Caenorhabditis elegans: one gene and its partner. The protein of the gene in region 2 purifies or fractionates together with the protein of the main gene of each other region. This does not show direct contact. Each region holds a gene or a part of one and is shown on either strand. Other genes may lie near its edges.

What was found.
Region 1: the proteins of spg-7 (region 2) and Y47H9C.9 fractionate together in Caenorhabditis elegans (co-fractionation; one large-scale study listed by BioGRID). This does not show direct contact.

Annotation. Positions count from the first base shown.
Region 1 is NC_003279.8:11,894,267-11,909,625, reverse strand, and holds Y47H9C.9 (Zinc finger PHD-type domain-containing protein), read left to right. Parts: upstream 1-8,149; coding exon 8,150-8,359; intron 8,360-8,404; coding exon 8,405-10,155; intron 10,156-10,201; coding exon 10,202-10,514; intron 10,515-10,561; coding exon 10,562-10,837; downstream 10,838-15,359. Other genes in the region: rbm-3.1 (RRM domain-containing protein), read left to right, coding at 29-176; exo-3 (exodeoxyribonuclease III), read left to right, coding at 420-668, 998-1,324, 1,385-1,600, 1,908-1,982; fbxa-216 (F-box domain-containing protein), read right to left, coding at 6,456-6,647, 6,709-7,390, 7,438-7,521, 7,566-7,686, 7,729-7,966; Y47H9C.12 (Mos1 transposase HTH domain-containing protein), read right to left, coding at 12,661-12,817, 12,864-12,925; Y47H9C.8 (NACHT_N domain-containing protein), read right to left, coding at 13,379-13,451, 13,498-13,613, 13,671-13,728, 13,782-13,895, 13,948-14,023, 14,649-14,757, 14,819-15,085, 15,152-15,359.
Region 2 is NC_003279.8:3,463,783-3,478,709, forward strand, and holds spg-7 (AFG3-like protein spg-7), read left to right. Parts: upstream 1-3,349; 5' UTR 3,350-3,351; coding exon 3,352-3,471; intron 3,472-3,520; coding exon 3,521-3,683; intron 3,684-3,725; coding exon 3,726-3,798; intron 3,799-4,339; exon of another isoform or gene 4,340-4,405; intron 4,406-5,503; coding exon 5,504-5,702; intron 5,703-5,759; coding exon 5,760-5,884; intron 5,885-6,799; coding exon 6,800-7,945; intron 7,946-8,661; coding exon 8,662-8,770; intron 8,771-8,875; exon of another isoform or gene 8,876-8,994; intron 8,995-9,182; exon of another isoform or gene 9,183-9,292; coding exon of another isoform or gene 9,293-9,412; intron 9,413-10,015; coding exon of another isoform or gene 10,016-10,525; intron 10,526-10,574; coding exon of another isoform or gene 10,575-10,641; intron 10,642-12,369; coding exon of another isoform or gene 12,370-12,509; exon of another isoform or gene 12,510-12,518; intron 12,519-12,735; coding exon 12,736-12,855; intron 12,856-13,873; coding exon 13,874-14,167; 3' UTR 14,168-14,734; downstream 14,735-14,927. Other genes in the region: Y47G6A.14 (RING-type domain-containing protein), read right to left, coding at 1-58, 400-521, 924-1,076, 1,591-1,716, 1,771-1,869, 1,927-1,996, 2,042-2,138, 2,182-2,227 and 2 more; Y47G6A.15 (DUF148 domain-containing protein), read right to left, coding at 9,293-9,412, 10,016-10,525, 10,575-10,641, 12,370-12,509.

The DNA of each region.
Region 1 (15,359 bases), 8.4 Mb from region 2:
ATGATTTCTAACGCAATATCTCTTTCAGAATCGTCTGTGATCGCGAAACCGGACGTCCACGTGGATTCGCCTTCATCGAGTTCGCCGAGGAAGGATCCGCACAGAGAGCCGTCGAGCAGATGAATGGAGCCGAGTTCAATGGAAGACCACTCCGCGTCAACCTCGCCAACAAATAAGTTGATCTTCATATCGGGTTTTTGTTACTTTTTTGCTCTTCACTGATCTCATTATTAATAACAATCCAATGAAACTATCGATTTAATTATTTAATTCAATTTCAACTATTCTCTAACTAATCTGTTCAACATTCGGGGAAGTTTCTCTATTTGTCATCCTTCCATCCGCCGACCTGATTCAACTTTCTTCTTCCCCAGCTGCTCCGTTCAAGAGCCTACTCGACTACTAACCTGTTGCTGAAAATGTCGAAGCGAAAAGCAGAAGAAGCACCAGCACCAAAGCTCGCCTCGATCTTCACAAAGAAGGTGAAGCCGGCAGAAGAGGACAATAATCAGAAAAGCTGGAAGTTTGTGTGCTGGAACGTGGCAGGGCTCAGAGCTTGTGTGAAGAAAAGTGATTTTAAGGAAGTGCTCGCCGAGGAGCCTGACCTCGTTTTTCTAGGAGAGACCAAGTGTAAGGAGTGGCCCCCGGAGATGGAGGAGACGTTTAAGGTAAGGAATTCCTGGAAGAAAAGAGATTTTTCGCATATTTTACGGCCGGGTTTCATCAAAAATATGTTTATTAACACATTTTAAACGAAAAAACGTAGAAATTTCCATTAAATCCAAGCGGAAATTCACTATTTTTCCTGAAATCTACAAAGAAAATCGCAATTCAAAAGAAATTTGCATAAAAATAACATTTAAAAGTCAAAATTCTACCAGATTTCCATTTAAATAGGGATATTATGTGCTTTTTAAAAATATTTTGAATGAAATTTTAGCAGAAAAATGCGAGAAAATGGCTGAAAAAGCGATTTTCAAAGCTAATTTTTTTCCAGAACTACACCAAAACCCTCGTCGTCTCCACAGAGAAGAACGGTGGCTACGCAGGAGTCGGGCTGCTCAGCAAATGTGCTCCGATGAAGGTTCACAAAGGAATCGGTGACCCAGAATTCGACACTGCCGGACGTCTGATCATCGCCGAGTTCTCCAAGTTTTACTTTATCGGAGCTTACGTTCCAAATTCGGGCGCGAAGCTGGTGAATTTGGAGAAACGAGGACGCTGGGAGAAGCTGCTGACCGAGAAGATGAAGGAGATGGACGAGAAGAAGCCAGTGATCTACGGGGGTGATTTGAATGTTGCACATAATGAAATTGATCTGAAAGTAAATATATTGTATTAAATTTGTTTTAAAAATTATAAATTAACTCCCTGATCCTTTCAGAATCCAGAATCAAATCGAAATAAAACCGCGGGATTCACAGATCAAGAACGTGGATGGTTCAGTGAGATGCTCGAGTTGGGATTCACCGACACCTTCAGAGCCATGCATCCCGACGAGAAGAAGTACTCATTTTGGAGTTATCTGGCGAATTCTCGGCAGAAAGATGTTGGATGGAGATTGGATTATTATGTTGTCAGCAATCGAATTATGAATAAGGTCTCGTCTGGAAGCTGTGGAAAATTGAAAAAATGGGCAAAAAATGCAATATGTCTGGGATTTTTTCCCGTAAAATCCCGGTGGATACCGAAATTTTGATGGAATTTGCCATAAAAATTTGATTTTCCAAAAAAATTTAGACAAAATCCACCGGGGAATTGAAATTTTTCAGAAGATTTCCATGAAATCCACTTAAAAATTTAGAATTTTACTGAAATTTCGACGTAATCCAAGTGGAAATTCAATTTTTCCACTGGAATTTTGATAAAATCCAAATTAAAATTCAATTTTAATGTTCTTTTTTCAGGTCAAACGCAGTGATATCATGAGCTCGGTGATGGGAAGCGACCATGCTCCGGTCGTCATGCAAATCGACTTCTAAATTGCTTCTGATTATTTTATTTTGTGAATATTGCTTTAAAACTTGTATTTTTGATGAATCTCGACTAATTTTTAAATTTAGAAAGTCTGAAAAAAAAAAACAAATTCATCAACAAGTAACAATGTTTAACAGAATTTCAAAAAATGGAAACAACACGAGATCACTGTTCTTTTTTAATTTCCAAATAGCCAAAGGTGAGCCTAATTTTGAAGCGTGACGTCTCGGTTTCATAGACGAACGGAGCATGTTCTTCGTCTGATTGCTCATGATTGAAAAGCATCGCGAGTTGAGAAGCCTTAATTGTAGAGCATCTGATGATTGCGGATTGAAAGTGATCGGATTTCATGTGAATCTGGAAAAAAAAATCAGATTTATTGAAAATAATCAATTTTCTAAAGTATATCTCTAATCTTGATGGCGTCATCAACCGTGAATTCTTCCATTTTAACCTCAAAACCCGACAAATGGAAGAGATTTTCAATTGGGAAAGTAAAACGGTGATCCCAGACTCGAAGTTTCTTAATCTTCTTCCACTGCTCCAGCTCAAAAAGAGCCAAGTACATATCCATTGTTTCATCAACATAATCATCATAAATACTGTTCCACGTCCTTCTTATTGGAGAGCTCATCAATGCCAATTTCTTCGAGATCTCCCGGTTTAAAATGGGAAACGACTTGGGTAATATCTTGCAGGTCCAGCATGTCAATCGTGAATTTTTTAGCACTAATTTCCGCCTCCGAAGCTTTGAAAGTCTCCTTGAAATTCTCATAGCAGTTAGCAACTTCAAATCTTTCAGTGAATTCATCATTGACCTCCACTTTGAACTCTTCCAGCTTAAGATTCGGATTTTTCAATAGAATCGCCACGTCGTCCAATGGTTTCTTCATATATTCCTTATTGCGAATTTTTTTATTCTTCCGACACGTATACGATCGATAATCTTCGTCATCGTCATCATGGTACAACTCCAATCGATCGTAGCCCATGCTCATCGAGATTTTTTTGATGCCAGAATTGCGATTGTCGATGATAGATCTCAAGTTTCGAGACACATTACGAATAGGAAATCTGAAAATTTGGGTATTAACTATTTTTAAAAATTAAGTAAGCATTGAAGACTGACGTTTCAAATGGTTTCATATCATCCAGAACTTTATGAACAATTTGGATAGGCATATCGGGCAGGCTGCGACTTTTTGGATCATAGCTGAAAGTTATTTTATTTTGTTTAAGGCGCTCTCGCTAGCTTCCCTCATATTTTGAAATGTAAGAGTTTGCCGAACTAGGCCATTTTGACTCGGTCATGCCTGGGGTAGATTTACGGCGCGTTGCGTGTCGCGTCGCGGCTCGGTTAATTACCTCATTTCACAGTCTAAATCAGCATCTCCATTTCCGATTTGATAGTACCAAAAGTCGAATTCGCGATATTCCATCAAACCGTATCCGAGAACATTACAAAACGAGTGATATGCACTATAGACAGACTCTTTCTGAAGATACAGGAACAGAATACATGAGCGAATGGCAATTTTGTTGTTTCGCAGAAGATTCTTCTTTTCTATTATTTTTCTGGAAAATGCATATTATTTAGAGTTTAAACTAAAGAAGCAACAAACTCGTAACACAAATCCATCGATTCGTCGAATTCAGAACAAGAGCAGGAATCGGACTCTGACATTGTACTCATTGGGGGAGTCGAGTTTGTGGATTTGTGCTTAAAGGTAGAGTGAGGCCAGTGGGGAAATTGCTTTAAAACATGCCTTTAAAAAATTCAAAAAATTTTTTTCTAGATTTTATATGATTTTTTGAAAATTGGAAAAATTTTAATTTCCCCCTAATTCCTATAGGTTCCTATTTGAATTTCCGCCAATTGGATTCGCTCGGTGGAGCGCGCATTTAAAAAACACAGAAAATGAAGAAAATCAGTGGAATAATAGAAATAAATAGGAAAATAATGAAAATCATGCAAGCGCGCTCCAACGAACGAGTTCAATTGGCGGAAATTTAAATAGGAATTAGGGGAAAACTGCGATTTTTCCAATTTTCAAAAAATCATAAAAATTTAGAAATTTTTTTTGAATTTTTTATCATGATATTCGATCATTGTGGTACCATAGGCATGTTTTAAAGCAATTTGGCCAATTTTGAGCGTTTTTTCAAATGTTTCAGCTGAAATTATTGTTATTTTCAGATAAAACAACTAAATTTCAATGAAATATGTTGAAAAAACATGGCAAAATAGGTATAATTCTGTAGAATTTTCATGCTTATTTTAATTTTAAGTTCACTCAAATTAGGCCGAAAAACGAGCTAAAATTTGCTAAAGAACAGTCGGAACGCCGTGTTTTTTTTTTCGAAAAATAACAAGTTTCGAAAGTACCACTGTGGGAAATATGAATGAACTCAAATATAATAAGAAGAAATATCAAAAAAAAAATCGAACTAACAATTTTATTGTTTAAACTTTAAACAAAAACTTAACAAAGGCCGGACATTAATTATTGTTTTCTTTTTTAATCTCAAACGAGTCATATCCAAAATTGATTTTGAAGCGAGATCCCATTGTTTTATAGATGATTGAGCCACTTTGTTGTGCAACGTTTCGGTTGAAAATCTTCACAAATTGGTAGGGCTTTTTGATGTGGCTTCTGACGATTCCGGATTGAAAAGAAGGGGAATTCTGGACGATCTGAAAAAAAAAACAGAATATATAACGAAAATCCCCGGTGTTTTAGCATACATCTCTGATCTTCTCTGCATCTTGAATCGTGAATTTCTTCAAACGAATCTCGAAATGCGAAAAATGCGACAACGTCTCAATTGGAAAATGAATCGAATCATCCACTCCGATTTTGACTTTTTTTCGCTTTCTGCCAGTGCTCGAGCTCGGTGAGCGGCTTGTAAATTTCCATATTTTCCTCAAATACTTCATCATCGTCAAATTCTGTGTCTTTGACAGTCAAATGTCGAATTTCAATTTCCTCGAGAACTCTTGGCTTGAAGCGAAAGAACATCCATTGCGCATCATGAGGTTTTAACATTCCGATCGAGAATTTTCGGACGCTGTTTAACTGAACACGCAAAAATAAGAACATCATTCGGAATTTCCCATTCAACTCCCACCGATTTCTTTCGTCCGGATCATTTCCAAATCTTAATTCGAACTCTTCCAATTTATTATTTGTCGTGATAGTCTCCAATTGATCCATAGCATTTTCCAAATATGAGTTACTATCCTCATCTTCATCACTTTTTCTAAACTTTTGTTGAAGACTTTCTTGATTATTCAACTTCAAGCGAGCTTCGCCGTCGTTCACCTCCATGGTAACTTTTTTGATAACAGGATAATGATAGTCGAAGAGAGATCGCAGATTCGAGGAGACATCACGAATAACGAATCTGAAATTTTTTTTTTTTTTTCATTTTTCTGCTGATTTCATAGTAGGATATACCTTTCCAGTGGAGGAATATTTTCCAAAATATTGTGAACAATTGCGAGTGGCATATCGGAGAGACCGCGGCTTTCTGGATCCCAGCTGAAAGTTATAAAGTACTACGAATTGCCAATTATGATAATTACCTCATTTCACAGTCCAAATCAGCATCTCCATTTCCAATTTGATAGTACCACAAGTCAAATTCCCGATATTCCATCAATTCGTCTCCGAGAACCCCACAAAACTTGCTGTATGCCTCGAAAACTGGAATTTTTTGGAGATACAAGGACAGAATGAATGCTCGGGTGGCAGATTTGCTGTTTCGCAGGAGATTTGTCTTTTGGACCCGTTTCCTGAAAGATATAAAAATAAACTTTTTAAGAATGGCAGAAAAAAAAACATACTTTTCAATCAAATCCTTTAATTCGTTGGATTTTTCATCGCGTCGAGATTGAGCGATGGATTTCGGCATTTTTTTCGTTTAAAACTGCAAAAATTACAATTTAAATTGCGATTAAAATCTAGTTTTAACGTTTTTCAAATCAAAAAACAATTTCAAAAAATGTTTGCGCGTGAAATCTTGTGTATTCTACGCAATAGGCAACACGAAGTGTATTGCGTACTTCGCCGACTACAGTAGCCCGAGAACTTTTTAATCAGGATTGGGCATGTTTCAGCTGAAATAAATGTTATTTTCAGATAAACCAAGTGGATTTTCTATATTTTGACACAAAATCGCTATGAAATATGCTAAAAAACATGGCGAAATAGAGAATTCTGAAGAAAAGTCGAAAATAATTGTGTTTGAAGCTTTTTCCCGATTTTCATTTAGTTTTTTCATGAAAATATGAGAAAAACAATAAAAATACTTGTTTTTTAAAATAAAACTGGGTAATGACATAAAAAAGAATTTATTAGAAAACAAAGTTGCGGAATATAAAAAAAAAAACTGCACCGAATCAAAATGTAGAACAAAAAAATATCGTTTTAACAAAAAAACTCAGCAAAAAATGTCGATTTTTTCATTGTTCTCGTTTAAATTCTTTTAAATTCAATAGAAGAGTATCCAAGCCCAATTTCGAAGCGAGAATCCTTGGTTTTATAGATAATTGGACCATTTTCACCGCCAGAATATTTCGGGTTGAACACCTTCAACATGTTAGTGCCTCCTGGATCTTTGGAGAATGTGATGATTCCGGATTGAAAGTGAGCGGTTTGCAGGAGAACCTGAAAAAATAAGTGAAATTACGAACATTTTTAAAATTTAAAAATTTAAATTTTAAATTACATCTCTAATCTTGATAGCATCATTTTTCGTGAATTTATTCAAGGAAATCTCAAAGTTTTCCAAGTGAAAAAGGGCTTCAATTGAAAAATCCAACGAATCATCCACTCCGATTTTGACTTTTTTCGCTTTCTGCCAGTGCGCGAGCTCGGTGAGCTGCTCGTACATTCCCATATTATCCTCAAAACTGTCATCTGAATCATCATCATATCGAGGACACCTGGGATACTTTGGGTACTTGTATCCAGTGCAGAAATATTCAATTTCAATGTCCTCGAGATTTCCTGGCTTAAAGTGAGAGAACGCTGCCTTCGCATCATCCGGCCGCAATAGTTCAATTGAGAATTTCTTGGTATTCAGAACAGCTTTTGAAGCTTTAAACATATCCGAAACATCATCATACAGCCCCCATCGATGTTTTTCGCCGGCTTCATCATCGAAATGAACTTCAAATTCTTCCAATTTATGATTTTTCGTGAATTTCGCTACTTTTTCCAATGCAATTTCCAAATATTTCTCATTTCCATCATTTCCATTACATGAAAACGTTTTTTCCAGCTCCTCATGATTTTCAAAAAATAAAATCGCTTCTTCGTCTTGCACCTGCATGTAAACATTTTTGATGACACGGTAGCGCTCGTCGAAGAGATTTCTCAGCTTCTTCGACACATTTCGAACCACCATTCTACAATTTTTAAATTATTTCTGTAATAATAAGGCTAAAATAATCACCTTTCCGCTGGCAATAGCTTTTCCAAAACTGTATGGACAACCGTGTCGGGAAAATCGGTGAAAATCGGACTTTTTGGGTTGTAGCTGAAAGTTATTATATGGAAATAATCACTTTAAAATTGAAAAACCTCATTTTACAGGTCAAATTAGCATCTCCATTTCCAATTTTATAGTACCAGAAGTCAAATTCCCGATATTCCATGAAATCGTCACCGAGAACTTCACAAAACGTGTCGTATGCCTTCAAAACTGGAATTTTTTGGAGATAAAGGGACAGAATGATTACAATACATTTATAGATTATTCGTTTCTTCGTCGTTACTGTTGAAGCGGTTGGGGAGGTTGGAGCCGTTGTTGTTGCTGTTGGAGCTGCTCGGAGGGCCGACGAATCTGGAAGAATAAAATGCCCTACGGGGTTTAATTTTCGAAATTGGTCTACAATAAATAAAAAATGACCTGAAAAAAAATAGTAATTGATTCGAAGGTACCGGTCCTGTCGCGAGCCGTCAATCCCGACCATCCTCGTCATTGATGCATCCCGACCATCCTCGCCATCGATCTATACCGACCATCCTCGTCATCCTGAAAAGTTAAATTGTTTATACTATAATAAATGTTATTAAATATTGTTGTGCTTTAAAAAGGGTAGGACCCCTCCAAGGAATCTATGCAAAAATTTTCTGGGCAAAGTGACATTTTTTAACAGGAAGCCATGTCTACGCCGCTTAGGATGACGACGCCTCTTGGTGTATCCTTATCATCCGACCTGAAACGTGCCTTGCAAGACAATGAGAAGCTGACAAGGGACGTGAGCGATGCAAAACTTTTGAAAGAAGATGCTGAAATAAAGCTGAAAAAAATTAGGGATAAGCTTAATGGAGAGCACTCTGAGAAGTTGGGAAAGTTGAATGATAAGTACAAGGTATATAATAGAGATAAGAAATTGCTGAAATAGATAATATTTTAGGCTGTACAAGAAGAACTGAAAACGATGAAACAGAGTTGGACGCAGTTGAAACGGGAGAAAGGAGTTTTGGAAACTGAAAACCGTCGTTTGGAAACTGCAAAAAGGGAATTAGATCGGCAACTTTCAGGAAAAAATGATGAATTACGAATGGCAGATGTGGAAAAAGTCGAAGATGTTAAGATGATTCGGGACCTGAAAGCAGGGAAACGGCCACCTTTCAAAACTGAATTCAAAAATCTCATCAGCAGGAGCGAGAAGTTTAGGAGAATAGAGATAGCGAGAGCTGAACTTCAGCGATGTGGTGAGAAATACCTACAAATACAGTTATTTAAAGTGATTTTAGGCGGCGAATCTTCTGAATTTTACCGCCTTCTTCTTGGAAGATTGAGTAAGTTGGGTCTTCTGAAATGGAAGATGTCAAAGAGGGAAGGATTATATCTCTATCACGCCAGCAACCTCACGAGAAGACGATTCACCAAGTTGAAACAAATGCTGCGAGGAAGTGGATGTATCGATCCATTGCCATCTATTCATGAGATCAAAAAGCTGGAGAAAGTTGTTGGCTCCTCGGATCAATTCAAGGTCACCGAGCATACCGTTGACGGTAAATCCGTGGTCGCCGTTCATCTGCTCGACGTCGTCAAAATGTTAACTGAAAGGATTAATGAATTAGTTGCTAATGGAAAGATGGTAGTTGGAGACGATCCTATTTGGCTTACGATCCTCGGCGATAAAGGATCAGAAGAATTCAAGTTATGTTTGTCAATTGGAAATGTCTCCCAACCTAACAGCTGTTTCCATCTAATTCCACTTGGCATTTTCAATGATGACGAAAGCAGTGAAAACATTCGAAAGTATCTAGGTCCCATCGTTGAACAACTCAATCGATTATTATTCCTAAAGATAAAAGTAGGCGATAAGGACATTGATGTACCTGTGGAGCAGTATCTTGGGGGAGATATGAAGTTCCAATGCGATGCTATTGGTCATGAGGGAGGAAACAGTACCTATCAGTGCATGCAGTGCTTTTCGCTACGAGGGCAGTCGATCAGCAGGTACCTTCGCAGATACAACATTGAGCTCAGAACTCCGGATGACTACAAGAGAGATAGCTCCAAACCGTCCAAGCCATCACATCATGTCGCAAGAAGAAACGTTGTACAGAATTCCAGCTTCTTGTTCGATCTCATCAGTTTGTTCAACGTGATTCCTCCATCCTTGCATATCATCATGGGAGTAGCCCAGAGATTCGCGTTTGACTACCTGATTCTTTGGGCTGCAAGGTTGGATAACCCCTCCATGCAATTAAAAAGGGGTGACATCAAGAAAACCAGGATCTCGAAGGCAGTAGTCAATGATAGAGCTGAAAAACTGGAGGAGCTGGAAGAATTTCTTTCAGGAACAAAATGTGCTCTTCAGGTTGTTCAAAATTTCAAGGATCGTCAAGTCAACGGGTACAAGTCACCAGCCGAGCCGTGTAGAGCAGCGATGTGCTTGTTCAAGGACAAGACTATGAAACTGGCAACTTCATACGATGGGCGCAAAGTGGACTGTCAGACTTGTTCCAAGTCTGTACACGGCGTATGCTGTGGGCTGTGGGACCCTGAAAGTTGGAAGCTTACCACTGAAGATTCTCCTGACGTGGATTGCTTCGAGTGTCGATCCATGACGGTGAATCGCATCGAGATGGAAGCTGAATCCACCATTGCACATCTGGAAAATGAGAAGAATAAATTGATGGAAGATTTGAGGTTGGAGTATTTATATTTTCTTTAAAGAAAGCATTTCAATTTACAGATTAGCTCAAGCAGAATACGATAGTCTCATCCAAACCGCGGGGGGGGGGGGGCAGAACAAAACGAGAAAGCGGCTTGAGGAAATTTGGAAACGCCATGGTGCTGATATGTCTGCCTGGCAGCAGAATTTCACAGGAAATCACACGCTAAAATTATTGGAAGAAGCTGCGGTCCTCGACTATCTAGGCATTTTTCCTGCTGGTTCAGATCGTGACGGCATCGCGACTTTTCTCATTTCACTTGGCAAATTGCAAAAACTATGCGTTGCCCGAACACTGAGTGATGATGAAATTAAACTAATGGATCAACACATCGTAAACTACACTAGCTTCTTTATAAATATAAATAAACTATATTTCAGAATGACCTTTGGGAAGCCCTAAAAAGCTACGCTCCTGATGACGTCGTCACTCCAAAGCTTCATGTGCTCTTGGAGCACGTGATGCCGTTCGTAAACGCAAAAAAGACCTGGGCGTTGACTAGTGAGCAGGGTATCGAGTCTCTTCACTCGTGGTACAACAAACTCAATGCTCAAATCCGAACTTCTGCAAAGTTATCTACGCGGGCAACATATTGCTTTAAAATGATTTTCATTAAATGTTACGTTTATGCCACATGCGACTACATTCGTAATTAAGTTAGTTCGATGTCGTTTTTCTTGTTTCACTAACCATTTCTCTGCGTTCCGTTGACTTTCCAATTGTTTCCGGTCCGGTTACTTCTCAGAAATTGATAATTGTTATTTGTTATGTTGCTTGACCTTGTTATATAATTTTTTGCGTGATTTATTTCATTTTTGCATTCAGTATTTGTTTTTTCCCAACAAAACATGTTTTGCTTTTTAAGAAAATACTTTTAAATTTAGCATTTCAAATTTTCAGGGTGAAAACCCTTGTTTCGAAACTTACGTAGTGACTCGACGGGCTTGTTGATCTGACGTTTGTTGTTCTTTCTGAAGAAACGGAGGCTCTTGATGAACTTGACGTCGACAGAGAGAGAGAGGAAGATGTGCTTCCTTCGCTTTTAGTACTATTTTAGCACTCTCAAATCTTTCTTTCTTGGATCATAAATTAAAAGACGACCATTTGGACGATGCTCGAAGAGATCCAGAATGGAATCACGATCATCGAATTTTGTTGATGATTCGGCGAAAATGATTCTTCCATCGAGAAGAATATCCAAATCATTCAAATATTTGATTGGAGCAGCATTTTTGTTGTTTGCAGGCAGTTCTCCAGCTCCGAGGATTTTCACAACTTTCTCCTCTTGCCAATTTATTGCGAACAATCCCAAATACGCATCAACAATGTCCAGCTCGCCGACGTCGCTCAATCTGAAAATATTTGTTCTAATACAAATTTATAAAAAAGCAAATCATGAAACCCCGACATTAATTTTTTTGTTGTACTCGTGAGGAATCGAAATTGCATGTCTTATCTTATCACAATGATAATAAAGAAAGATCGCCGGATCTATATCTAACCTCGAAACGGAGGTTCTTGATGAACTTGGCGTCGACTTCCTTCTATGGAGAGGAAGATGTGCTTCTTCGGCTTCGTGATCCCATTACGGTGAGCCTTGTTGTTCCGGTTGTGATTGGTGTGATTCTCGGGCTTCCATGCATTGTGTGGCCTGCAAAATTTGTACTTTTCACTTTGCAATTCGATTTCAACACAAACCTGTGAGAGCTACTTGAAATTCTCACTCTCTCTGGACGATCTCGAACTCTCCAATGTGTTCGTGCTCACTGCGGCCCGGAAAAGGACAAAACCCTGAAAAAAACGTTGCTCAGATAAGGAAAAGACGGATAAAGAAAGTATAAAACCGAAAAGTACATGTAAAGCTTATTAACATTATCGTTTTCATCGAAAACATATATGAAACGGCTTCATTCGCCCAAAAATCCGTTTCCTCTCGATAATTCTGAAAATTAAGCGAAAAAAAACGAAAAATTGGGTCGATTTTATGAAGTAAAATACGATTTAAACATAATGATGCAATTAAATTCGAAAAAATCATCTGAAAACTATTAAAAATGCGATAAAAAGCAGAAAAATATTGCAAAATCGGTACCTAAATTTCATGCAGCAAAGCTGCTCTAATGAACTCTCGCCTCTGTGACGTCACGATTTTTTGAAAATTTTTTCCGCATTTTCTCGCAATGAGTCGCAATGAGACAGATTGACACCACGTGATTTCTCAGCTTCTTGGACACATTTCGAACCACCATTCTACAATTTTTAAATTATTTCTGTAATAATAAGGCTAAAATAATCACCTTTCCGCTGGCAATAGCTTTTCCAAAACTGTATGGACAACCGTGTCGGGAAAATCGGTGAAAATCGGACTTTTTGGGTTGTAGCTGAAAGTTATTATATGGAAATAATCACTTTAAAATTGAAAAACCTCATTTTACAGGTCAAATTAGCATCTCCATTTCCAATTTGATAGTACCAGAAATCAAATTTCCCGATATTCCATCAAATCGTCTCCGAGAACCCCACAAAACGTGTCGTATGCCTTCAAAACTGGAATTTTTTGGAGATAAAGGGACAGAATGAATGCTCTGGTGGCGATTTTGCTATTCCGCAAGAGAATTGTCTTTTGGATCCGTTTCCTGGAAAATTTACAATTTTTAAATAGAGTCAAAGGAAGAAACAAACTTTTCAATCAAATCCTCCATTTCCTTGGATTTGCCATTGCGACGAGAGCGGGCAGCAGACATTTTGCTCGTTTCAACCGAAAATTAGCTGGAAAAAATAATATTTTCGACGAAAATTGCGATAAAAACTGGTTTTCCGACAAAAAAACATTTCAAAAAATTGTTTGCGCGTGATGTCTTGCGCACGCTACGCAATACACTCCGCGAAGTGTATTGCGTACTCCGCCGACTACAGTACCTCGGGGAACATTTTTATTGCGTTTCTCAATTACTATAATATACTGGGAAAAATAATCATTTAAAAAAGTTAAAAAACGCATTTTTGTGGAAGAAAATCTTTTTTTTTTATAAATTGAGAGCAGATTGCAACGAGCTAACTGTATGACAAAGTTTTATCAGTTTTAAAGGTCAGTTTTCTGAAATTTACATGCTCTTTTTGCCTGCCCTGAAATTGTTCAATAATTCTAAAACAACATTTTAAAATCATAACATTTATTCGAAAAACACAAAAAAAAATCAATTCTTAACATCAATTTCCGCTTCCTCATCGTCGGCACGTGGCTGGTAGATTGTGAACATGAGTTTGAAGCTGAAAATATATTTTTTATTCGAATAAAAATGGGAAATTTGCTCACTCCAAGTCTTGTTTCGCCTCTAAATTCTCTTTCGACGGATTCGTATCGCATCGTCTGATGAGGCTTTCGTACTGGCGCCACGTCACACAATGATGCATATCCACTGGTTTTCCGCGCTGAAAATCGGATTTTTAGTGCTCAAAAAATCACAGCAAAAATCGATAAAACCCTACCGGAGGCGCCATAAGCTCTCTTGTGACAGTGTTATACGGCATTTCTCGGGCTTCATTCCTAAAAAAATCGATTTTTAAACGTAAAATTTAGGAAGAAATCGGGGGTCCTACAAAGCATCAGTCACACATTGTCGGAATTTCGAGCAAAGTTGTTCACGGGTCGACTTTAGAGTCTCAAATGCCACCTCACGGGCTCCATTTGTGTCGCCAAGAGACTCCACGTAGCTGGAAAAAAATTGACAATTAATTTTTAACTGGTTTCAGGTTTCAGGCTTACTCGCTAGAATCGGTAGCTTCTTCGAAAGTTTGGTCGAGCTCCGGGGCTCCAAGTCCGGCCAGGCAGATCAGGAAATCTGGAAAATAGATTTTTAGTGGATTTTGGATTTAAAGAAGGAGAAAATAGCTCAAAAATCTTAAAATTTCGCCAAATTCCAGCTAAAATCTGCAATTTTTCATTGTTTCAGCGATTGAAAACTGATTTCTTGCACTTTTCCGGTTGAAAGTTGAAAAAAATACGAAACATGGACCTGAAAAAGAGCAAAATTGGTGATTTTTGGACATTTTTTGACGGAAAAATTACAAAAAATGCCTAATTTCAGCTAAATTTTGCACATTTTTGGCACTTTTTAAGTAAAAAAGTGGTAATGTACTACAAAAATTAACAAAATTCAGAAAAATTCATAATTGTTTTTTTTGTCCGGCTTGTCTCATTTTTCGCCGTATTTTTTCTTTTTTCTGAATTATTGAAGTTTCTGGGATTTTTTTCCTCTCTTTAAGAAAGAAGAAGAAGAAGAAGCCGAAAGCCTAAGCCTAAGCCTAGGGATAAGCCTGAGCCTAAAGTCTAAGTCTAGCCTAAGCCTTAGCCTTCTTAAAAAATCAGAATCTGAGATTTTCGCTAAATTTAGACGTTTTTTCGAATTTTTTGAGCGTTTTTCCCAATGAAATTCGAGGTTTTTGAGCTTTTTTCTGAGCTCTTACGGAGCAAAGTGTGCACAACATGCGGTGGAATGTCCTGAAGCCATTTTTTGTGCGAAGTACCGCTTTGTCTGAGGCTGTAGTGCCAAATTGCGCATTTTGGCTGGCATGCCTGGAAAAAATCGACTTTTTAAACATTTTTTTTTTTTTAATGCATTTTTGATTTTTCCAACCACAGCAAAGTAATTCTTGATAATCTGCTTGCTTTTCCCGTTCAAATCTCCACTTTTTCGAAAAACCACAGAATTATAGATTTCTAAAAGATCCATTTTCCGGAAAATCTCAGTTTCCTGGATACAATGCTCGCCGGCTCGGATACGTGAAGATGAGAAGTCTATGGACTGTAGAGATGATGACGTGGCACTCATTGTGTGAATTTTGAATTTATAATTTTCAAATTTCTCGCGAATGCTTGACATTGAAGTTTTGAGCAAATTCCACTGAAAAAAAACCAGTTTTTTTTGTTTTTTAGGTGAAAATTCAGATAATTTCTTGGAATTTCGTACCAGAAATGCATTTCCAATGACTACAAGTCTACTATCAATTGTTCCAGTGCTCAGCTCTTCGGACAGATTCCAAATGCTAATATTCGCCATAGTTGGCACATTTTTTGCGAATTTTAGTGTTAGCTCCTTCAGTTTTTCGTCATCCAGTGTTTTTTCAATTATTCCATCGGCAATGATTCTTCCGACCTCTTCCACATTAATTTCAGGC
Region 2 (14,927 bases):
GAGAAGATTGTCAACGAGTTTTCCGACGACTTCAATGCATGTTTTGCAGCAGCGGAATCTGTATGGAAAAAATATTGATTTTTTTTTTGATTTTGCAGAAAAGTTAATTATTTTTGAACTCCCGCGCAAATTTTCTCGGAAATTGGCCAAAAACTCGATTTTTTGCGGAAAAAATGTCTGAAAAAATAGAAAATCTTTTTTTGCTGCAAATAAAAAATATACATACAATTTCAGGCTGAAAATTTCAGTTTTTTGAGTTTTATTGTGAATATTTTTTAGAAATTAAAAAAAAACAGTCAATTAAATTGAAAATAACGAAAAATGCTCAGCAGACGCTCCAAATATTTCAATTTTCTGTGAAAATCGGCTCCAAAATATCCAAAAAATGAGTTAAAGAACCTTTCGACGGTCTGCTTGGTCATACACTCGCTGCACGTGAGCTCAAAAATTTTCTCGACGGGCTCTTGGCATTTCGTCTCCTCGTCCTTTTTGTTGATGGCCACGAGAGCAGTGAATGATTTCTGAAATTTAATTTATTACTCAGTCGCGAAATTTTGCGCGAAACTACGGTATCAGGTCTCAACACGAAAGATTTTTGTTGAAGGCGAGAAGGTGTGCGCCTTTAAAGAGTACTGTAATTTTTGTAAATTTTGAATAAATTGACAAAAAAAGTATGGGAAAAACATCGATTTTTCATCGTTTTTCTGTCGAAAAAAAATTCCAAAAAGTGAAATTACAGGAATTTTTTTCGACAGAAAAACGAAGAAAAATCGATGTTTTTCCCATACTTTTTCTGTCAATTTGTTCAAAATTCACAAAAATTACAGTACTATTTAAAGGCGCACACCATTTCGAATCCAGCAAAAATCTTTCGTTTCGAGACCCAAAACCGTATTTTTGACGCAAAAATGACGATTTTTTACTTGATATTCCTTGTCCTTATTGGCAATTTCCAAGCACACAGACTGTACATAATCTGACATTCTTTTGATTTCCTGATCAATTCTCTTGGAAAACTCCTCTTGGACATCACTAGACTTGCTTTTTCTCATCATATCCGTCATCTTGTCGAGCTCCTGGAATTATTTGATTATTGATTGAAAAAATAATATGGAGACGCAGAAAAATGCGCCTTAAAATTTAAAAATCAACGTGGAAATGTGCTCCGCCTCCAAATTATCGGTCTCGTTAGGTATACATGGCGGCAAAACTGGAAAATTCAAAAAATTCGAATTTCAATTGTTTTATGTCGAAATTGATGAAAAAATTGTTTTTAAATGCATTTTTAACGTCATTTTTCCGTAAAAATCACGAAAAGCAACAGAAAACTTCTTCAAAGATTTTGTCACCAAATATTTTCAAAAATCAAAATTTTTCGATTTTTTTAAACGATTTTTCGTGTTCCGAGGAAAAAAAATTGAATTTTCACTAATTTCCGAAGAAAAATTAGTTTTTTAAATCGAAATCCACTTTTTTTTTTGATAAATTCATAGTATTCTTCCATTTTTTCTCCTAGATTATCTCTGAAAATATCCGAAAAATCGAAATTTTGACCGCGCACATCGATTTCAAATATCAAATCAAAATCACCGTGTGGAATGTCTTATATGTCGATGCAAACCGAGCATACCACGCATTGGTGAGCCCAAACGACGATTCGAGCTCAATTCTCAGAAGAGAAATACTTGTAAGCTGGCTTGCGAAGTTCATTCCGGACTGAAAATTTACAATTTTAAGTCTTTTCTTTACAAATAAATTTTTTAAATATACCGCAACCGGGAAATAAGCCACAGTCTCGTGGCCCTGTGTGACATGAGATCGCAGTGCACAACTTCCACAAAGCGCCAACGATTTGATATCCAAATCCACCTTAAAAAATCATTTTTCAATTTTTTTTTTTTTTTTGAAATTGGATATTTTCCGGACCTCGGCACCCAAATTCTCCACGACGTCGTATTTGAAGGCATCAGTGACGCAATTGCGGCAGACGAACATGCTGGAAATTGAATTTTTTTGTTATTTCTAATTAAAAGAGGCCTACTCCGATTCGTTGTCGTATTTGGTGCATTGAGTGCAGTCCACTGCATTTGCAGGCTTCTTTGGCTTCTCACGAAGCTTTTGGATCATGGTCACAGCATCTGAAAAATAGTTTTTTTCGGGAAATATGAATATTTTTAAAACTTGTCAATGCAAAGTTTTTTGTTCGCTTCTCCTTGCTAACCACGGCCTGAAATTATTTTATTTTTAAACAGATATCAATATATTTAAGCCATACGCGGCATGTCGGGCATTGTGTCTGGCCACCAGATCCATATGCGTCAGAATAATCGCTTTTCAAGTGCACAATGCAAGTTTCGCATAGAGAATGGCCACAAGATATGATGAATGGAGCCTTTTGATCATCTGAAAATAAAAATGTGCTTGTTTTACAATAAAAATTGGGATATTTTTCACCAAATTCTTCCTGGCACACAGGGCAAGTCGGGAGTTCTTCATTAACATCCATTTTTCTCGAAAATTCTGAAAAATAAAGTTTTTTAAATTAGAAAAATCAATATTTTTAAATTTTCGTTATTTTTAATCGTCGAATAATTGAAATTTTCGTTTAAAATTAAGGAAAAACAATTTATACAATTTATATCCGGAAAAATTAATGTTTTTGCAAATATTTGAGTTTCAAGCGTTTTCGCTTCAAGTCTCAAGGAGGATAATGTGCTTGCGCCTTTAAAAACTACAGTAAGACCTTTGTTTATTTCGTCATCGAATTTCAATGTTTTGAATCAAATTTCCCGTGATTCCGGTTTGATTTTCACAATTTTATTATGTTTTTACACTATTTAATGAATTTTAATTCAGTATATAATAAAATCCATAGATTATCCACACTGAAAATCTACCAATACCGTCAGTTTCTCAAAAAAAAAACATTTGCCCAAAAAATGCCTGTTTTCCATGGAAATTCACATTGATTTTTAATTTCACAACGTTTTTTTTGCCAATTTCTTTCCAAAATTTCTCAAAGTACTTTCGCAAACTAATCGTTCACTTTTGCGTCATGGCTCTGTGCACTGGAAACTAATTTCAAACGACGCGCGCATTGTCTTGTGCGATGGAGCGCGCTTGCTATTTTCTAAAAAGTGCTCAGTATTTTTGAAGCTTTATGGTTTTTCCTTGTATTTTGCATAATTTTAAACATTTTTCTCGAGAAAAAATATTCGAAAAAGTAGAAAACGGCTGAAATTTGGTTGTTTTTAATTTTTTCCCTCGTTCCTCAATCTTAAAATCGAAGATTTCGTCATCTCTCACTGTTTGCGCAGTGCATGATTATGATAATTAAATTCTATTGCAGAAATGTGGCGATTATACCGAAAAACGCCGAAGCAGCTGAGAAATTCGGTCGAATCATGCTTCAAATCTGTCAATTCCCGCCAATTTTCAGTCAGCTCATTTTCAGCAGTAGCCAAAGATGATGTAATATTACCGCCTGCCAGTATACTGAAAATTCTGAATTTTTTTGCAGAAATCCGTGCTAAAACAACAAGAAGTTCTGCATCTTCTCGCAAAAGATCAGCGATTTGAAGAGCGATTCTTCAATCAAGTACAGCAGACAATTCGATATTTCGCCTCGAAACCAAATGATTTGAAAAAGTTCTTCAGGAAGGAAGCATCGACGGATAATAAAGGTTTTCAGAGGGAAATTATCATTAATTCGAAGTTTTTTCCAGAATCTTCATCATCTTCTGACAAAAAGGACAGCAAAGGAAATAAGGGAGAGGATAATAATCCGTTTAATCAATTGTGAGGAGGAATAGACACAAAAATCGGCTAATTTTGGCTAAAATCTGAAATTTCGCCCAAATTATCATCATTTAGATGCTTTTCACCACGTTATTTTGTTTATTGAAGTCTCGGAGAAGCCCCGGAAATCATTTCTAGTCGAATTTCTTTGGAGTATTTCAAAAAATTGACTTTTACAGGTTTCCCGGGCCGTATTTTGAACTTTTTGGCAAAAATTGTCCCAAAGATCCGGAAAAAACTTGTAAAATCCAATATTTTTAAAATAAATTGGTGATTTTAGCTAAAATTAGCAGTTTTTTTAAAAAGTTTTATTGGCAGAGCAAAAACCGTGCCAGAGTTGCAAAAATTGGCGTTTTTAGCATTTTCTCCATTTTTCCAGATTTTCAAAAATCGAAAATTCGGGATTTCGGAATCATTTCAATAAAATTCAAAATTTAATGAAATCACGAATTTTCCAAATCGTTGAAAAAAAATTCCGAGAAAAAAAAAACAAAAAAACGCCCATTTTTGCAATTCTGGCACGGTTTTTTGCTCCGCCCACGATGTTTTTGAGCGGGGCACCACGTTTTCAAGATCTACGAGAAGAAGATCTACGTTTTCAGGATCTGGCACCGTGCCAAGTGCAGTTTTCGCAGTTTTCTCGAAGAAAATCGAAATAACGATGCTCCGATATTACGCATCGCGAGTTGTTTAGCGTTTTTCAGAAGTTTTTATTCAAAAAAGGTTTTTCTGACTAAACAACGTGCGATGCGTAATATCGGAGCATCGTTGCTTTTTCTTCGAGTAGACTGCGAAAACCGCAGTTGGCATGGTGCCAGATCCTGAAAATGTAGACCTCCTTTTCGTAGATCTCGTTTCCGGCTAGATCTTGAAAACGTGGTGCCTCTTTTGAGCACATTTACCTTTTCTAAGATTTAAAAGTGGGGTACCGAAATCTGGAAAATATTTTCAAATGTCTCCAAATTTTCTTCTCATTCCAAATATCGATGTGAAAAAAATCAAAACAATTTTCTAGATTTTATATGATTTTTTGAAAATAGGAAAAATCACAGTTTTCACCTAATTATTTTTGAATTTCCGCCAATTGGATTTGTTCGGTGGAGCGTGCTTGCAGTATTTTTATCAATTAATTTTTTTAAATTCTTGTTCTTTGACTGATTTTCTTCATTTTCTATGTTTTCTCCTCGGAAAATGGAAGAAATAAACAAGACAAATGCAAAATTCTTGTTAAAAAGTAATTGAAAATGAGTAAAACTGTGAAATATACTAATTTCAGGCTTGTTGCCGTCGGAACTCAGAATATCACAGTTTTACTCATTTTCAATTACTTTTTAACAAAAATGTTGCATTTGTCTTTTTTATTTCTTCCATTTTCCGAGGAAAAAACATAGAAAATGAAGAAAATCAGTCAAATAACGAGAATAAATAAAATTAATAAATAAAAATAATGCAAGTGCGCTCCACCGAACAAATTCAATTGGCGGAAATTCAAAAATAATTAGGTGAAAACTGTGATTTTTCCAATTTTCAAAAAATCATATAAAATCTGGAAAATTTTTTTGAATTTTAATATCATGATATTCGGTCAATGTGACCCCATAGGCGCGTTTTAAAGCAATTTACCCACTGAGCGTAGTCCACCTTTAAAAAAACGGAGAAAACCTCTAAAACCCCTTAAAATCAATCTAATTCCTCCAATTTTCAGCCCAGGAGGATGGCAACAAATTGCCGTTTCAGTTGGAATTCTGCTCGCTCTCTACGCCTTTATGGATTATCAGTCGTATCGTGAAATTTCCTGGAAGGAGTTTTACAGTGATTTCCTGGAAGCTGGACTTGTCGAGAGACTTGAAGTAGTTGATAAGCGATGGGTTCGAATTGTTAGCTCGTCTGGAAAGTATGCAGGAGTTAGTTTTTTAGTTTTTGCACTGAAATTCGTGAAAAAATGAATTTTTTTCTTTCAGCAAACGTGCTATTTCAACATCGGAAGTGTGGATAGCTTCGAACGGAGCCTCGGAGCTGCTCAGCATCATCTCCAGTATGATGCTGATCGACAAATTCCGGTTTTATATAAATCTGAATTCAATTTGTAAGGATTTCTGCAAAAATCACTCCATTTCAAGAAAAATTAGAGAAAAAAAGAAAAAACCCCCGATTTTCTTAAAGAAAAAGCTCTGGGAAATGGGAAAAGTTATAATTTTTGCATGAAAATTCAGAAAAACTTTTAATTTTTCACATTTTTTGTAGTTAAAATTTTGTTTTTAAAGTGAAAACCTTCAGAAAGTCACTGAAAATGAAAATTTTGCACAAAAATTATGGAAAAAGTTGCTTTTTGCTCGTTTTTTGCACTAAAATTTCAAAAAAAAAATCCGATTTTTCTGATTTTTTGCCTGAAAATTTCAAAAACAAAAATTAATTTTGCTGGTTTTTTGCAGAAAAATTTTTAAAAAAACGCAGTTAGGCTGTTTTTTGCCTAAAAATTCGAGAAAATCTCAATTTTGCTGAATTTTTGCACTAAAAGTCTTTTAAAAAATCCGATGTTTCTGATTTTTTGCCAAAAAATTCAAAAAAAAAAATTTTGCTGATTTGTTGCACTAAAATTCCAAAAAAAACTCAATTTAGCCAATTTTTTGCACTAAAATTCCAAAAAAATCCGATTTTTCTGATTTTTTTGCACTAAAATTTCAACAAATATCAATTTTGCTGAATTTTTGCAGAAAAAATTTAAAAAATCGCAGTTAGGCTGTGTTTTGCCTAAAAATTCCAAAAAAAAATCCGATTTTTCTGATTTTTTTGCACTAAAATTCCAACAAATATCAATTTTGTTGAATTTTTGCACAAAAATTCAAAAAAAAACGCAATTTAGCTGATTTCTCGCACTAAAATTCTTTTAAAATTCTGATTTTTCTGATTTTCTGCACTAAAAATTTGAAAAAATCCAATTTTTCAGGCATTTTTACATTAAAACTCCCCCAAACTTCAATTAAAAACCTTTTTTTTTCAGCAAACGCGAAATCCCAAACCTCATCAGCGTCGCATTCCCTCTTCTCTTCGGCTATTACATCTATCGAATGCTGAAAGGCGGTGGAGCAGCTGGCGGAGCCGGAAGAGCTGGTGGAGGTGGACTCGGTGGAATGTTTGGTGGATTCGGACAAAGCACGGCTAGAGTCATTAATCGAGAAGATATCAAGGTGAAGTTCGCCGATGTTGCCGGTTGTGAAGAGGCAAAAATCGAAATTATGGAGTTTGTGAATTTCCTGAAGAACCCCCAGCAGTACAAGGATCTTGGCGCGAAAATTCCGAAAGGAGCCATTCTAACAGGACCTCCTGGAACCGGAAAGACACTTCTCGCGAAGGCAACCGCCGGCGAGGCAAATGTTCCATTCATCACTGTATCGGGATCCGAATTCCTGGAAATGTTCGTCGGAGTAGGACCTGCAAGAGTCCGTGACATGTTCTCAATGGCTAGAAAGAACTCTCCGTGCATTCTATTTATTGATGAAATTGACGCAGTTGGAAGAAAACGTGGTGGAAAAGGTGGAATGGGTGGACACTCTGAACAAGAGAATACTCTGAATCAGCTTCTCGTTGAGATGGATGGATTCACAACTGATGAATCGTCGGTCATTGTGATTGCCGCCACGAATCGTGTGGATATTCTCGATTCGGCACTCCTCCGACCTGGTCGCTTTGATAGACAGATCTATGTTCCAGTTCCAGATATCAAAGGTCGTGCTTCAATCTTTAGAGTTCATCTTGGACCACTTCGGACTTCCCTCGACAAGACTGTGCTTTCACGAAAACTCGCCGCCCATACACCAGGATTCTCTGGAGCCGACATTTCGAATGTGTGCAATGAGGCTGCGCTGATTGCGGCGAGAGATGCGAATCACGAGATTTCAAATAAACATTTCGAACAAGCCATCGAACGAGTCGTCGCTGGAATGGAGAAGAAGACGCAGGTTTTGCAGAAAGAGGAGAAGAAGACTGTAGCCTATCATGAAGCTGGGCATGCTATTGCTGGATGGTTCCTACAGCATGCGGATCCTCTGTTGAAGGTTTCTATTATTCCACGAGGAAAGGGTCTCGGATATGCACAGTATTTGCCGAAGGAGCAATACTTGTATTCAAAGGATCAGTTGCTTGATCGGTAATGATGATGCAGTTTTTAAGTTTTTATTTTTCAAAAAAATTTCCAAGAAAAAACTGTTAAAAACTGTCAAAATCGCGATTGGAAACACTTTAAAATCGTGATTTCTGGATATTTATAGTATCAAAAAGTGCTTTTATGAGATTTTCCCGACAATATTACACTTATTGCTTGATCGTAGTTACAAATTGTGCAAAATCGTGATTTCTGGAATTTTTTGAATCACGAAAACGTGATTTTTAAGCAAAAAGGTCCCCAAAATTTCACTTTTATGAAGCTTTGGCGGCGGATATGCACTCTAAAATTTTTTAATTTAATTTTTTTTAATCATAATTTTGAACCAGGAATAAGTCGACATTAGTTCGAAATTTAAAAAAAAAGCTCAAACAAATAGGAAAAAAGCTAATTTAACTTTTTCTCCCCAAATAATAAAAATCTTAATATTTTATTCAGAGAATTGAATTTTTTCGAAAATTTTTAATCTTTCCCTTCATTTAGGATGTTTTCCCAAAAGATTTCACTGTACTGATAAATTTTTAGCTGAAATTTTTCAATTCAAAATCAATATTTCTGATTTTTTTCAATTATGCATATTTCAAAAAATATTGTTTTTTTTTCGATTTTGCGATTTTTTACCAAAAAAAGAGCCAAATTTTGTTGGCAAAAGAAAACCTTTAATTTTTCGATATTTTTCAAAATTTTTAAAAATTTTTCAGAATGTGCATGACACTCGGAGGTCGCGTCGCCGAGGAGATCTTCTTCGGACGAATCACAACTGGAGCACAAGATGATCTACAGAAAGTTACACAAATGGCATATTCACAGGTTTGGTTTATTTTATTTTACAGCTTTATTGAGACGGAGCAAAAGTTGCAAAAAGTATTCGAATTTAATCTAAAACCGGCGATTTCTTGTCGAGAGCCTCTGTCAATCCTTCACAAATCGTCGACGCAATGCCAGTGTCCGGATCCACGTTGCATGTGCATTTGACTGGAGCCGAGCCGCTGAGAGCCGTGAAAATAATCAGAATTTGGAGAAGAAGAAGAAGAAGAATCAGTTGAAATTTCATGATTGAATGGATGGGGGAATGTTTGACTGAAGAGCTCTGAGAGAGCAGCTTTATCTGACATATGAAGTCGATTATGTTTTTGTTTCGGCGGGAGGAGAGCCAAGGAGAAATAGTGTGTGAAAAATGGAGAGTTCAGGCAAATACCAGAAGACATGTGTGAGCTGCTTTCCCGATTGAAACCATTTATTTAGAAGAAAACAGAAAAAGAATAAGATGAAAAGAATAGGACAAATAAATTAGATTGAAAAACAAAGAATGTAGGCACTCGAATAAATAGCTTAATGACGCTGAAGCAGGTTGAGCAGATGCTGTGGAGTTACGTATTGTCCACCACCACGACCATTATTTGGCGAGCCATTTCCGAATTGGATGCTTCCTTGGTCGCCGTTGGTATTTGGCTGAAATTTGAGATTTTCGGATACTAGATTCCGTGGAAATAGATTTCCCGAAAGACCCCGCCCATTTATTGACTTTTTCGGGGTTTTTTCGCTACAAAACTAGGTATTTTTAAGGAGGAACAGTTGGAAGGAAGCAATTTTGGCAGAAAATAGGCGAAAATTTGGTTTTTCGGAGATTTCATTCCGTGGAAATAGATTTCCCAAGAGACCCCGCCCATTTATTGGCCTTTTCGAAATGTTTTCGTTTCAATTTTGAAAAACGGGCAAATTTGTTGGCCAAAAATGTACAAGAAGGCATTTAAAAGAGAAATCTCAAAAACGATACTTATGACTCCTTGGAAGCAAATCCACCAAGAGGCCCCGCCCATTTATTGGTATCTAGCATTTTCATCTCGAACTGAATTTGTTTCAAAAAATGGCCGGAGCTCTTTAAAAAACATGTAAAGAGAAATCTTCAAAACGAATCAGACTCCGCCCATTTAATGGCTATTTCTAGAATTTTTTCGCTACAAAATTTTGTATACAAAACTGTGTGGAGATTGTGACCTTTTGAGGAAAAAAAACGCGAAAATTGCAATTTTTCAAATAGTAAAATGCACTCACCACAAAAATGACGTCAACTCTGTCCAATCCTTGATTAGTATTTGATGCTCTTGGCTGATTCTGCTGATTCGACACAAACGGATAACCATCTTGTGTTGTGGTTGTCGTCTGTCCATTTCTCTGATTATTGCATTCATCCAGGCGGTTTCGGAGACTTCTCATTTCGTTTGTCGTCTGTGCAGCAGCGTTTCGCAATTCATCCACAAGGGCTTTGTTTGCCCTATTGGCGTTCTTTTCCTTTTCAAGTTCATCACGAGCATCTTTGGCGTCATCTTCTGCTCTTTTCTGACGTCTGTTGGCTGTCTCAACTTCGTCCTTTGCTCTATCAAGATTCGCGTCCGAGGATGTTAGTTTAGCCTCCAATCTCATCACGTTTAAATCGAGTTTCAGAACTTGATTTTGACTCTTCACAAGTTCTGCAGACTGGCTATCGAAATTACGTTTCAAACTGACCATTTCTGCTTCTAATTGTCTTTTTTCCGCTTCGAGCTCATCTGCTTTGTCAACCTCCTGAAAAAAGGTGTCCTAATTTTTTCGAGGTGATTTGAGATTACCGCACCTTTTTAAACTTTTCCACCAGCCTATTATACTGGGCTCCTGTGTATGTCTGTTGTGCGTTTGGACCGCTGTAAAAAGGTGGAAATTAAGAAAATTATCGTGAATAGATGCACCGAACTTTTCTGCTTTACCATGAATGTCTTAAAATCACTCAAAAAATCACTTTTTGCTTAAAATTTGCCTTTTTCCTTATGGGGTTATTCAAGTAGTGTCGGAAAATTAAAAAGTGTAGAAAAATTACGTCACAACCTTATTCAAGTATATAAAAAACATGTATTTAAATACATTTTTGACGTCACAAATGTATTTTAATACATTTTGCTACATTACTTGAATAACCCCATTAAATTTTTGGGAATTTTTGGAGAATATTATTTTATTCATCCCTTTAAAAATTTTCTGAATCAATTTCGATTAAAAAAAAATTTTTTAAGCAAAATGCCGATTTTCTGAAAAAAAAACGTTTTTTTCGGAAAATTTTTTTTTTTAAGTATCGATCCTAACCAGATGTGCCGCCGAAAAAATTTTCCATTTTTCCATTTTTTTATTGAAAAAGTGCAAAAAGCCAAAAAAAGTCCTACATACCATGAAAAAATTCCAAAACGTTGATTTTCTTGATTGTTATGAGCTAAAACTCGTATAGTTTAGGGTATTTTTTACTGTTTTGAGCTTTTGAAAAAAAACAACTTTTTTTTTCTAAATATTTAAAATGTGTTTTTTGGCATTAAAAAAATAATAACCTGGCCGAAGCTGCACGTGGTGCCAGGCTGTCCCATTACGACTTGATCTACAAGAAATGCGGGAATTTTTCTCCCAGATAAATGTGACGTCAGCACAGTCTTAGCCATGCGAAATCAGTTAAGAACTCTGCGTCTCTTCTCCCGCAATTCTCGTAGATCAAAACGAAATTGGTGAAGATGTACAGCTGAATTTCTCGGAGCAGTCATCAGTAACAAGGGTGTCATTTTTCGATCTTTTCGATTTTTCGGTGAAATTCGAAAAATCGAAAAATTGGAAACCGAAAAACGAAAATTTTCGATTTTTCGATTCTCTGGTAAATCGAAAAATCGAAAAAAATGTTCCAAAAATTAACCATAAAATATGATTTTTTATCTAATTTTGCTTATATTGATAAGAAAAAACCTTGAAATTTCTTCTAAACCCAAAATATTAAGCTAATTTTTGAAAAATCGAAAAAAAAACTTTTCCGATTTTTCGATTTTCTGAAAAAAATCGAAAAGTCGACACCAGGGGTGGGCATTCTTGATTGATTGATTTCTTGACATTTTGTCAAGAATCCCTCCTCAAGAAATTTTTAATTCGAAATTTAGGCTGAATTATTTTCCAATTTTTGTAATTTTCAGAATAAAATAACTCAAAAAACATCATAAAACCCGATTTCAGTTGAAAGAATGAGGATTGCAGAAAGAAATTCAAAAAGATTGACAACATCTTTATCGAAAAATGAATAATTTTGCACGTTTTGTCAATTTTTGAAGTTCCTTCTGTTGATATTCGTTTAAAAAAAAGTTAAGACTGAAAAATTGAACTATTTCTTTCAATTTCGTTCAAAAATATTAGCCGAATGAAATTTCTTGATTTTTCTTGATTTCTTGATTTTTTCTTGACATTTAAAATCAAGAATTCTCGATTGATTGATTTCTTGACTTTGAAAAAGTTTTCCCACCCTTGATCAGTAACACTCTTTTATCGAAAAAAATTACTAATTACTATGCCATATCAAAATCCGAGATTTAATTTAAAGATTTATCCCTTGTAAGTCAGAAAAACCTCACCCTCCTTGAAGATTGTGCAGTGAATTCATAATACTGGCCAATTGAGTTGATGTAGATGCTCCTAGAACGGCATTCTTCGAATCATTTGTAGCATCAGAGGAGACGCAGGCAGCGATGAGAATAAGAAGTATGATCTTCATAGTTTGTTGAGATGGTTGATATTAGAACGTTCGTCGGGATTCCTTATATAGTAAGATTCGGTACCAGGCAGTGTGCGGGAAGAGAATGAGTCAGTCAGTGGTGTCGGGCAGTGTGAAATTACGGATGTATCATTATTATTATTATTATTATTCATACTACTATTGTAGTATACATTACATTGCACAATTGCTGCACACAATAATACAAAGACCTTTTTCCTTGCAGGTCGTCAAGTTTGGAATGAGCGAAAAGGTCGGACCGTTGTCGTTTGAGACACCAGCTCCGGGAGAAATGGCATTTGATAAACCGTACTCGGAGGCCACCGCACAGCTCATTGATCAGGAGGTAGGATTTTGGTAGAAAATTAGTTTTTTTCTACGAAAAAATTGGAAAAAATCGAAGAAAAATGATATTTTCTGATAGTTTTCAGAAAAATGGCAATATTTTGAAAATTTTAATTCAAAATTAATTTATAATCTGTGGGCGGACTTGCCGATTTACCGGAAATTTTTAATTCCGGCAATTTGCCTATTTGCCGGAAATTTAATTTCCGGTAATCTGTCGATTTGCCGGAAATTTTAATTTTCAGCAGTTTGCCAATTTTCCGGAAATTGTCAATTCCGGCAATTTTCCGGTTTGCCGGAAATTTTCAATTCCGGTAAATTGCCGATTTGCCGGAAATGTTCAATTCCGGCAATTTGCCGTTTGGCAAAAATTTTAAATTCCGGCAATTTGCCAGTTTTCTGGAAATTTTCAATTCCGGTAATTTGCCGATTTGCCGGAAATTATAGTGTTCAGCAATTTGCCGATTTGCCGGAAATTTTAGATTCCGGTAATTTGCCGATTTGCCGGAAATTTTCAATTCCGGCAATTTGCCGATTTGCCGGAAATTTTCAATTCCGTCAATTTGCCAATTTGCCAAATTGCCGGAAATTCTCAATTCCGACAATTTGCCAATTTGCCGGAAATTTTAACTTCCAGAAAATTGCTGATTTGCCGGAAAAAATCGTTTGCGCGAAAATTTGACTTTAACCGAAAAATCCAATTTAAAAAATCACCCAAAACTATATTCGATTAAAAAATACAAAATTTTCAAAATTGCCGGAATAAATTTTTCAAAAATTCAATTCATTTTTAGTTGCTAGAGAAAAACTACAGTTTTTAAATTTCTCAAAAAATGATGCGTTCAAATAAAATTTCAAAATTTTCTGGTCCTGGAAAATGTTTTTTCTGAAAAATGTTTTTAAAATTCATGAAAACACTAATTTCAAAAAATTTTCTAGAACGTTTTTTTTTTGGCGTTTCGAAATGTAGAAAAAAAAATGTAGAAAATTTAGAATATTAAAAATTTTAACATTTCCAGGTCCGAGATCTCGTAATGAACGCACTTCGCCGAACCCGTGATCTATTATTGGAAAAGAGAAGTGATATTGAACGAGTCGCATTGAGACTTCTTGAAAAAGAGATTCTTAATCGTGAAGATATGATTGAACTTGTTGGAAAAAGACCATTTGTTGAGAAGAATACGTACGAGGAAATGGTCTCAGGTACCGGAGGACTCGATGAAAATGTTGAACTTCCGAAAGGTCTCGAAAATTGGAATAAGGAGAGTGAGAAGAAGAAGAAGGACGAGGAAAAGAAGAAAAATGATGAATAATTTGTGAAATTTTATTTTTGAAATTCTGGCGAAAAAATGGGGAAATTGCACATGTTTTGCTCTTTTTTCTGAAGTTTCAAATTTTTTCTCTCAATTTTTGAAAAAATAGACTTTTCTAAACTTTGAATAGCTTTGTCGCAGTAAAAAAAATGATTTTTCAATGTGAAAATGTGAAATTTTTGACTACATGGAGCATTTTCTGTGACAAAGTGCATAAAAATTTAGAAAATCCAATTAAAAAAATAATAAAATGCCAGAAAAAAAACCAAATTTCACTAATATTTTTTTTCTGATTTTTTTCTGTGCGACCGGATCTCTTCGAATTTCTTTTTTTTTTCTAGACTCAATTTTTTCATTTTACTGTTATATTATATTAGTTTTGTAGGATTTTAGAGTTTTTCACCATCTTTCTTTTTTTTTCTAGCATCGATTGGTATCACTTTTTCCAATATTCTTCTCTGTTTTTTTTCATTTATTTCTTGTTTTTTTTTCGTCGACATAAGGTGAATTTTTTTTTGTTATTTAGACCTTGTAATTCGACATTTCGTGCATAAAAATCTATAATTTTCTATTTTTTTTGCTAGCCTTTTTTAAAAAGTTTTACCGCATTTTTATTGCTTCTATACTTTTTTTAAAATTATACTTTTATTCAAAAAAAATCAAAATTTTCAAAAAAAAAGAAATTGGGGGAAATTTGATGTTTTTTGATCGGAAAAAAACCAAATTTCCAAAAACAAAATTTTTTTTTTGGAAAAATGAA